Linked DNA regions of Solanum lycopersicum. The protein of the gene in region 2 binds, or shares a complex with, the protein of the main gene of each other region. Links are inferred from orthologs where the notes say so. Each region holds a gene or a part of one and is shown on either strand. Other genes may lie near its edges. The genes, in order: DNA-directed RNA polymerase II subunit 4 and DNA-directed RNA polymerase II subunit RPB7.

Evidence for each region.
Region 1: DNA-directed RNA polymerase II subunit RPB7 (region 2) and DNA-directed RNA polymerase II subunit 4 share a complex: the UniProt entries of both Arabidopsis thaliana proteins name them as parts of the RNA polymerase II complex. The link is inferred for Solanum lycopersicum from reciprocal best matches to the Arabidopsis thaliana genes NRPB7 and NRPB4.

What each region holds. Positions count from the first base shown.
Region 1 is NC_090805.1:48,101,436-48,105,847, forward strand, and holds DNA-directed RNA polymerase II subunit 4, read right to left. Parts: upstream 3,087-4,412; 5' UTR 2,991-3,086; coding exon 2,822-2,990; intron 1,886-2,821; coding exon 1,777-1,885; intron 1,473-1,776; coding exon 1,395-1,472; intron 1,284-1,394; coding exon 1,250-1,283; intron 1,150-1,249; coding exon 1,081-1,149; intron 574-1,080; coding exon 496-573; 3' UTR 209-495; downstream 1-208. Other genes in the region: E3 ubiquitin-protein ligase RHF2A, read left to right, coding at 4,196-4,327, 4,406-4,412. UniProt on the Arabidopsis thaliana protein: DNA-dependent RNA polymerase catalyzes the transcription of DNA into RNA using the four ribonucleoside triphosphates as substrates. Second largest component of RNA polymerase II which synthesizes mRNA precursors and many functional non-coding RNAs.
Region 2 is NC_090805.1:844,799-849,349, forward strand, and holds the start of DNA-directed RNA polymerase II subunit RPB7, read right to left. Parts: upstream 3,120-4,551; 5' UTR 2,810-3,119; coding exon 2,694-2,809; intron 2,599-2,693; coding exon 2,433-2,598; intron 1,270-2,432; coding exon 1,219-1,269; intron 1-1,218. UniProt on the Arabidopsis thaliana protein: DNA-dependent RNA polymerase catalyzes the transcription of DNA into RNA using the four ribonucleoside triphosphates as substrates. Component of RNA polymerase II which synthesizes mRNA precursors and many functional non-coding RNAs.

The DNA.
Region 1 (4,412 bases), about 47 Mb from region 2:
GCAGCTATTATAGTACGTCGAGTAGTGATTGAATGTGGTTGTGTTGTGTTATGAATCACTCAAAAGGTTCACTTATTGAGTGATCCCATCGCATTTATTTGGGCAAAGAGGAAGCTTATTAGTCACCAGTACTACAAATTTTCCATAGATTGATTCTCGAGGTCACCTCTTGACAGAGAAAAAAGACCCTCAGGACCCATAGCTAATATTCCGATCAAGGTATGCTCTTATTTGTCTTTCACAAAAGCGAAACGACAAACCAGGTATGTCATTACAATGATTTAGCCCGTGCACCAAAGGATTGTGGTTACAACCAGCTACCAAAAAGAAAAAAAAGGGTCCAGAGAGAGTTTTCTTCTTCAATCAACAGATAAAGTTTTCAACATAATGCCAGAGCCCAATTAGCATTACAGAGCTGCTACTAATAAACATATGGAGGTACAGGTTCGGAAGCAGAGACTGCTGCAGCATAGCAAGACAAGCACTATAATAGGACTACTCGAATTTCTTTATTAGGGAAAGGTCAGTTAGCATTTTCTCAATTGCTTCCTCGTCAAGTGCACGTCCTCTATTCTGCAAGCATGGAAGGGGTGTCAGTTAGCCGGAGTTTATGAAAAAGAGTAACAGGAATATATATAGCTGGATGATTAGACTGTACATTTAGGGAAACTTTGAAGATTCAAACTGTCGGTGCATTTTCTATAGACTTCCTTTAGCCTTATGGTGAGATATTACAATCACACACTGATGTACAAGCAACTCTGATTAGATTGGTGTTATGCCTTAAACAAATGAGACAACATGGTGAAAAGATGAGGGTCAATTTCATACACCTCCAAAGTACCAAGACTTTTTTGGCAAAATATTAGACTTTCCAAACCAGCCACCTCTGGATGTCAAATCCCTAGAAGGACCAAGTAAGACAAAGAAAAGCTCCCTAACAAGTAAAGAAATTGTTTAGGATGCCTATTTGAAGCATTTTGGGTGTGTTGTTTGAAATTATGAAGTCCAGAAAACTACAACTCTAGATATCTGCATACAATCCGTTCTTATGTAGGGTTGAATAGCATGCATGAGTACCTTGATGGATGGGACCATGGCAATACCTTCCTCAACAGTTTCGGGGCAAAGATTCCCAAGAACACAGAGCTGCAAAATATTCAAACTTATAAACTGCAGTTTCCACGAAGATATTGATGGTGGTTACAAGTATGAAACAAATTAGGAAATTCAAAGAACAGATTCCTACCTCGAATTCAGCAAGTGGATACCTACTAAGAATTCTGAATCAAAGTTAAGGTTTACATTCTATAAAAGGACTATTCATTGTAAATTCATAAATATCAAAAAGAAATACAGAAGTTTTTCAATCTAAGCCACAGGCAGGAGGATACTCTCGAGCTTGTCTAACAGCATCAGGGTTCTTGTACCGACTGAAACGCTTCACATATTGCAGCGACTTTTCAAATACCCTGGAAGTCAAAGGTAACCAAATTAACCAAACTTGAGAACGTGACGCCTATGCACAGGTTATCTCTTCAAAATAACATATTTAGATGTTGAAAGAGTAGAACCATATCAGTTTGGCATAATTTTCCTTAAGAATATTTCTTAGCATTTTGCCTATATATGAACATGGAAATTTCACAAAGTGGTTGGCATGAATTGAAAAGTTGATATGGAGGAAGACAACTTATTTTGTACAGGTAATCCAGCTTGTACTTAATATCTGAGCATTTAATGACATAAAAGGAGCATCTAGATTTATATACATACTGCGAAATCTGATTTGTTGGATCATCAGACATCTGCTGGATCTGCTCATACTTGTGTTCAAGAATCAATGCGACTTCACAGTTCATTAGACATTTGGCCTTCAAAAACTCTGAAACCAAAGTACCAAAAGATGTTAATGAACTTCATCAAGAGAAGATGTTTGTATGCATACAAACAGTTAAAAGACTAGAGACTTTGCACAAGCTTTCACCATGAGTAATAGAGATAAGCTGGAGGGATGACAAGGGAGGGAGACCCAATATTGTCTGGGTAGGAAATTGTATGTTCTCAAATAGGGAGTTTTATTATAGACAGACTACCTATAGAACACCAATCTGTAAATTCTTCCTAAATTTCATATCTCAAGGAGAACGATGAATGCAACACCACTAATCCAATCTCCCTCCACTTCATGCCTCAGCAATAACCTCTATTGCCCGAAGCCCTCAACAATCCATCGAGAAACTTATATGGACAGCTGAAAACAATTCTGAAGTAACTAACCAAAGATAAAAAAAAAAAAAAAGATGCTCATCGCGATACATATGCTAAATAGTTAAGTTAGCCATACAGTGAAGCTAGGCAGTTTGAAGTGACTAAAGTCTATTAATGATCACTACATATGAACAAAAAACAGTCTTTTTCTTGATCCAGAAAAAATCAAAATGTAATATCAAGTCTATTCTCATAGACATTAAATCAATAAGAAGAACCATATGCACCATATAGTAGCATCAGCCAGTTAACTATCTTATCCTGCATTACATTATTAAAAAAGAGACCCTAGAACCAATCCCAACAAATTGAGAAAAAAAAAAACCCAATACTACACAACCCATTATAGGAAAAAACAAAATCTTGATGAAAAAACTTGACTCCCCCTTGCCTTCATGGTTAAAAAAAGAAAGAAAAAACCTATTTTTATGAGTACATTAAAGAAAAAAAAAGATTTTTTTAAGTATAAAACTCAATTTCCAGAACGTTAAGCAATTCATATAACAAAGAAACCGATTCATCAAGTGTATTAGAGAGTAAACTTATTTACCATCGCCAATTTTGAGCTCAGCGGCGTTTTCTTCTTCTTCCCCAGACATCTTTGTACTAGAAAAAATTGCTAATTGAAGAAGCCAGACTACTATATAAAGGCAAAATTCGAGAATTCGGAATTTAGGTTTATGTCCTCGAATTTTATTATAATTATAATTATGCCCCATAAAAAATAATTTTTCCTTTTTAAAAAGAAGTAATAATGCTAAAAAAATTAATTCACTTGACTTAAATAAGGACCATACACGATCAATAAGATTATGGCAATAAATGTTTGATGCAATTATCATACTTAAATTTACTTTGAATTTTATCGTTTTTTTAAAAAATAATGATCAATATGATTAATTTATTATACTAATAAAATAATACATAACAATTTTTTTGATATGTCAATTTTTTTTTTTTTGACCAACTAAAATATTGTCCAAAGTGTTATTTTGGGCTCAGTCCTCGAAAGAAGAAAAAAAAAGGAAAGAAAGAAAGCATAAATAAATAAATAAAAATAATAAAGAACAAATAATCAAAGGGAAAGTTAAAAGTCTTCTTCTTCCTCTTTGTTCTTCCACTATTTTCATTTCTGTGGTTTACCTTTCAAAACCCAAAATTCTCCTGATCAACTTATTCTTTGATCTGCCATATTCATTGAAGTTTCTTTAAGGTAAGTTTATAGTACTTGTATGGTTTTGTAAAATTGATTAATTTTACTTGTGGTGTTTGAAATTGAGCTTCTTTTACTAATTGGAGTACTGGTTGGTTGGTTACTTTTTTTTCAAAAAAAAAATCTATTTTTTCTGTTCAGATTTTGTTTATCTGCGCGATTCTGATGTGGGTTTCAATTTTTTTTAAAAAAAAAAATTTGTCTGTAGAGTGGTTTGAGAAGAAGGGATAATCTAGTGAAACTTTTGAATTTGTTATATGGTTTTTTTTTTTATAATAGAATTGTGGTGGGGGTTTCATTTAAACTTTTTTCAGTGCTGGGATTGAATTGTTATTCAAAGCTTTGTTAAATGAACATGGAGATAGTGGGGTTTAGTCTCCTATTTGTTATTCTTTGAGCTGCTGTTGGATGTTTATTAATCAATTGTGAAGCTCTTACCGGAGACCAGCTAATCGGTGAAACAGTTATGGCTATGCATACCGTATTAAAATGAAACAGAGAGCCATTGTTTTGTCTCTGTAGCATTTGATTCTCACCTGTAATTAATTAGTCATATTGCCAGTGAAAGTGAGAGCAGGTAAGGTAATTATTTGGTTTCGAGGGACTTCGTTTGGTTTTTGTAAATTGGCATGTGATTAGAAGTAATGCTTGTTTGCTTTTTGCTTTCTTCATTAAACTTCAGTGATGTTTTAAGGTTTGATCTTTTGACAGATGGAGGAGGGCAAGATGTCTGAGGATATTTTAACTTCGGCTGCGGCATTTGTGGAAGGTGGAATTCAGGATGCTTGCGATGATGCTTGCAGCATATGCCTTGAAGCATTTTGTGATAGTGATCCTTCTACTGTACGTATCGTTCACATATATGTTACTATGGATGGAATGGGCTCTATCATCGAGTAACATAATGTATTAAATTTGCAGGTGACTG
Region 2 (4,551 bases):
TAGATGAGCAATAGTAATTACTAATTACTTTCAGGCAATTTCAGGTCGGTAAACTCAGTATGTAGCACAAAAGTATTCTACGACTATACTATCCCCACTAGATGCTCACATTTTCCCACCAACTTTTTTCTTGATGACAATGGTGTGTAGACCAGCCTATGCTCACCCACACTATCCACCAGGTACTTTCTACCTCCCACCAGCAGAGTTGTAGGGTAACTCTTCCCACTCAGGCATAGGCAGATAAGAAGAAATCATTCCATTGTTTTTTGCAGATTTTGTCTCTGCGTGGATTTGAACCCTAGTTTCAAAGGTCTGTATCCACTTAGTTAACCACTAGGCCACATCCTTTTTCCTCCGTCGGAATTCCTACCACCACTAGTGACTAGTCATGCATACACCTCTTAAATAATCTAGGAACCAATGAAATTCACTTAAGGTGACAAACTCAATACAGTTTAATTATAAAAGGGTCTAACTTGAGTTCCATGAAAAATTTGATCCTAAGCATAACAATCAAGGACTATTTAGATTTGGCAGAGTACTTATGTAGCTTGACAAAAAAAATTATTTTATTTATTGATAAATTAGCTTGGTGGAACATCTAACAAGTGCAAATGATGTTGCTGAGAATCACACGAGAAATGTATATGTGTGTGTGTATATATATACACACCCAAACACACTGTAGACTACTTAGCAGTTATGTAGATAATCTTAAACTAGATATTCAAATCAAGCTAAAGCTAATATCATATGAGAGACTACCCATTTTTGAATTCTAGATTCCTTCTTCATTCTTTTATTGGAATTATAACACGTTAGAAAACAGAATAAGTTTGATATATCAAGGTTTGTTGTAGTGATGGAAACCTACGGTCCCAACCAATACATTAAGAGTTTGCATCATCAAAGGATTTTCCAAATCAAGGAAAAATAAACACAAAAAAGAAAATGTAGAAACATATATGAAGATTGAACAAAAAATCTCTTAAGAATCAACAACTACCTTCCTAAAAGAAGTTGATTTTCATGCTTTTACAATAGATATGCACGCAGAAGACATTTCATTAATATATTTCTAATCAGTACATTTCATTCATGCAATCTTGCATATAGCAGAATGAGCTTTTAATATGCCACACTAAGAAAATGTCGTGTATGTGTGGGAACGAACACATGCTGGATTAAATATTTAAATATGGAGAACAAACTCACGTGATTTGAGACAAAAATCTGCACAGGCCCTGCTTCAGCAAAAAATCCCATCTGCAATATACCACACGGATAAATATCTTTAGGTAGGGTAGATGGAGAAGAGCTAACTAACATTAACCAATCAATCAACTACAACTCAAACCTAAGGAATCAGACTATATATATGAATCTTCTAGATCCATTCCTATACATTCAGGCCCACTTTATTCCTAACTTGTAGTAATCAATTTTAACTTTTAAACCAAATTAGAGGTTTTAACAAGACTAACATTAATGCAATGAAAAAAACTTTCCATGCAAAAGTTCCATATGCAATATTCCACAATCATGAAGTACCCAAAATAGTTCCTGATGGGAGATTGTCTGGTTTTATTTCTGCAGTTCTCTCAGAACCACAGCCGAGCTACTCAGCTATCGCAAAGCAAGTTTTAGCCACGTTTTTCTTGAAATCAAGACCACCACCCATGCCTATTTATTGGCATTGTAACCAAGACAGTGAACCAGTTGCAGCAGATTCTTTGTGGATTATACAAATAGATACTGGTATCCTTTAAAAAAAAGAAAAAAGACCAGCTCTATGTCTTGAAAATACTATGTGTGGCAGGCAATGCAGTTCTTATTTTCCTAGAAACCATGTGTCCTCTTAGATTAACCTTTCTTCTGCAATGATTCCATTCTGGGATTCCGCGCTTCGAAAAGTCCTTTTTGATGCGTCAGTTCATCAGTTACTTCTATTATAAAGTCAAAGTATCTATAGATCAACCTATCAATCAATCACTCATAAAAAAAAATTATATATGCCTATCAATCCCTCTAAATCTCAATCTCAAACTAGTTGGATTCAACTACTCAATTCATTCTCTACACGAACCCATTGAATCTTCCTTGCTATATCTTTCCTTCTCGATCTCTCTTATTCTCAAAATTCTCCCCTTTCGTACATATTAGCAGGATTATTAACCACCTGTCTCTTATCAGAACCTTTTTTTCTAAAACCAAAATTTCCTACAAAGAAGAGAAAGTAAATTTTCGTTGGAGGCAAATTTAAAGTTAGTTTTTCAGAAGATTGCTGCTATTCCAACTCCAACCACTGTAAAAAGGTTTGGATACCAATTTCGATAAGCGAAATTCAGTTGAATTCTGTGTAATTGCTTAATCTAGCGAACACACAGAAGCTAACAGAAATGCAAATTAAGGGGGGGGAAAGACCTTACCTTGTTAACCATGGTGACAACAGCTTCCAAAATCTCACCTTTAAAGGGTCGAAATACAACACATTGATACTTCACTGGGAAAGTAACAAAACCAGTTCCATCACGAATTAATCCTTTTCCAACACTTTCAATCCCAGTAATCGCCACTATAAAACCATGTCGACCACTGAACCAAAAAAAACCCAAATTCAAAATTTTAACAACATTAAATCAATAAGAAACAGTGAAAAAAAACGAAAATTAGGGTTTTATGAATTAAACCTGCAAGTTCCTTCTACATCTTTCATCAGTTTTGACACAAGTTTTTCACGAAGATCACGACCAAAGTGACGAGGATGAAGCTGCATGTTTCTCTCCAATACAATGTGGAAAAACATGATTGAGGAAGAAGAAGAAGAAGCTACGTTTGTTGATCCAAGTTGAACAAGTGAAGCTTATGAACAACGGACAGAGATTTATATATAGTGGGCCGCCGGGTATCTCAACAATTGGACCAAAAACCTATTTTATAGACCAAAGTTTATCTCCTAAAATTTTTAGCTAATTATTTCCTAATTTAGCTCTTAGATTAGGTATTTTTTTTCGTAATCCTAATGAAGGACCTTACGTCTACTATCTAACAAGCATAAAGAAAATAAAACCTAGAGAGGATTAAATGTTTTCTAATCACTGCAGAGCTTGTAATATACTTCATGATGATATTTCAAATGAGTATGCTTAAATAATATAAATATATATCAGCTTCAAACTTTCTGTTACAAACGCATGAATTAAAAATGATTGATTGTCCGTCAAAAATAACTTGAAGTATTTTTTTTTGTATTCTTTTTCAAACCTATCCAACAACACTTGATAATTCGTACTCTCTTTATGGATTTATCGGATTTTACTGAACCTATTGATACTGTCAAATGGTTCTATTTTGTCTGCCGCATCCGTAGGTGCCTTGGAACAAACTCCTCAGTCATTTTACTGTCCCAATTGTGTTTTCTTACATGTGTCTTCTTTTTGCTTTTGTTGCTTCCACTTCTTTGTCGTCTAGGTGATATATATCCTTCCTTAACCACTCTATCAAAGCATATGTCCAGCATATCTTCCTCATGAATCCTCGCTCAAATTAACTGTATTTGACACTAAGGCCCTTGACTTATTCTTATTTGCAACACACATTTAGGCACAAATATGGAAGCTTCTGGACTTAATTTACTATTCAAAGTAGGTGGTGAGACCTTTTTTCTTGGATCAAATCGTTGTCATGACTCTCTACTAACTTTACTTGCTTTTCAATAGTCTTCGATAAAGCATCAAAGTTATTCGAGCATAATAGGTCTCTTGAGGCATTATTAATATCTTGCATCTTCTCACTGTCATGAAAATTTCTAGTCGCATCCTTTTCACTACATGGAAAATTATTTTGACTAGTCGGAAAAAGGCTATGATTAATAATTGAATTTTTGAGTGCAACCATTGTCCAATTTTTGTCGCATTCTTGATTTGAACTTGCAAAACATGTTGTCCAGAATTGTCGGCATCTTCAATATCAGATGTATCCATTAGTTTGTGTCCTGAATACATTATTTTTTACCTGAACCAAATCGCGGCGCATCAACCCCAATTCTTGGCGTTCCTTTTTTGCTTTTGAAAGTTGTTTGAATACCAATATTACTTCTAACAACATTCATTGATTGTGCACGGTTTCACTCAAAAGTGACAGTAATCAATTATCAATCTAAAGAAATAGCTTTACTTTGATCGACATCTACAACCTTTCTTTTTTCATTTAGTATTTATCTTGCATCACTTTGATACTTTTCACTATCGATGGTACCTTTTGAAGCAACTTCAATGGTATCATCAATTTGTTAGTTATCTTGATTTCTTTTCGAGATCAACGATAGCTTTCTTCATCATGATCTTGGTGCTTACAATAATTGCAATACTAAGGTAGATTATCATATACAATCTCCTTAAAAATCTCGATCAACATCTCAGATTTTCCATCCATAAACTGCAATCTTATACGATTTGGAAGTTCTTCCATTAGATCAAGTATAATCTTGACTCTAGCTGTGCTAGGTCTTGATTTTATTTGAGTAGCTTTATCTATAACTATTGGTTT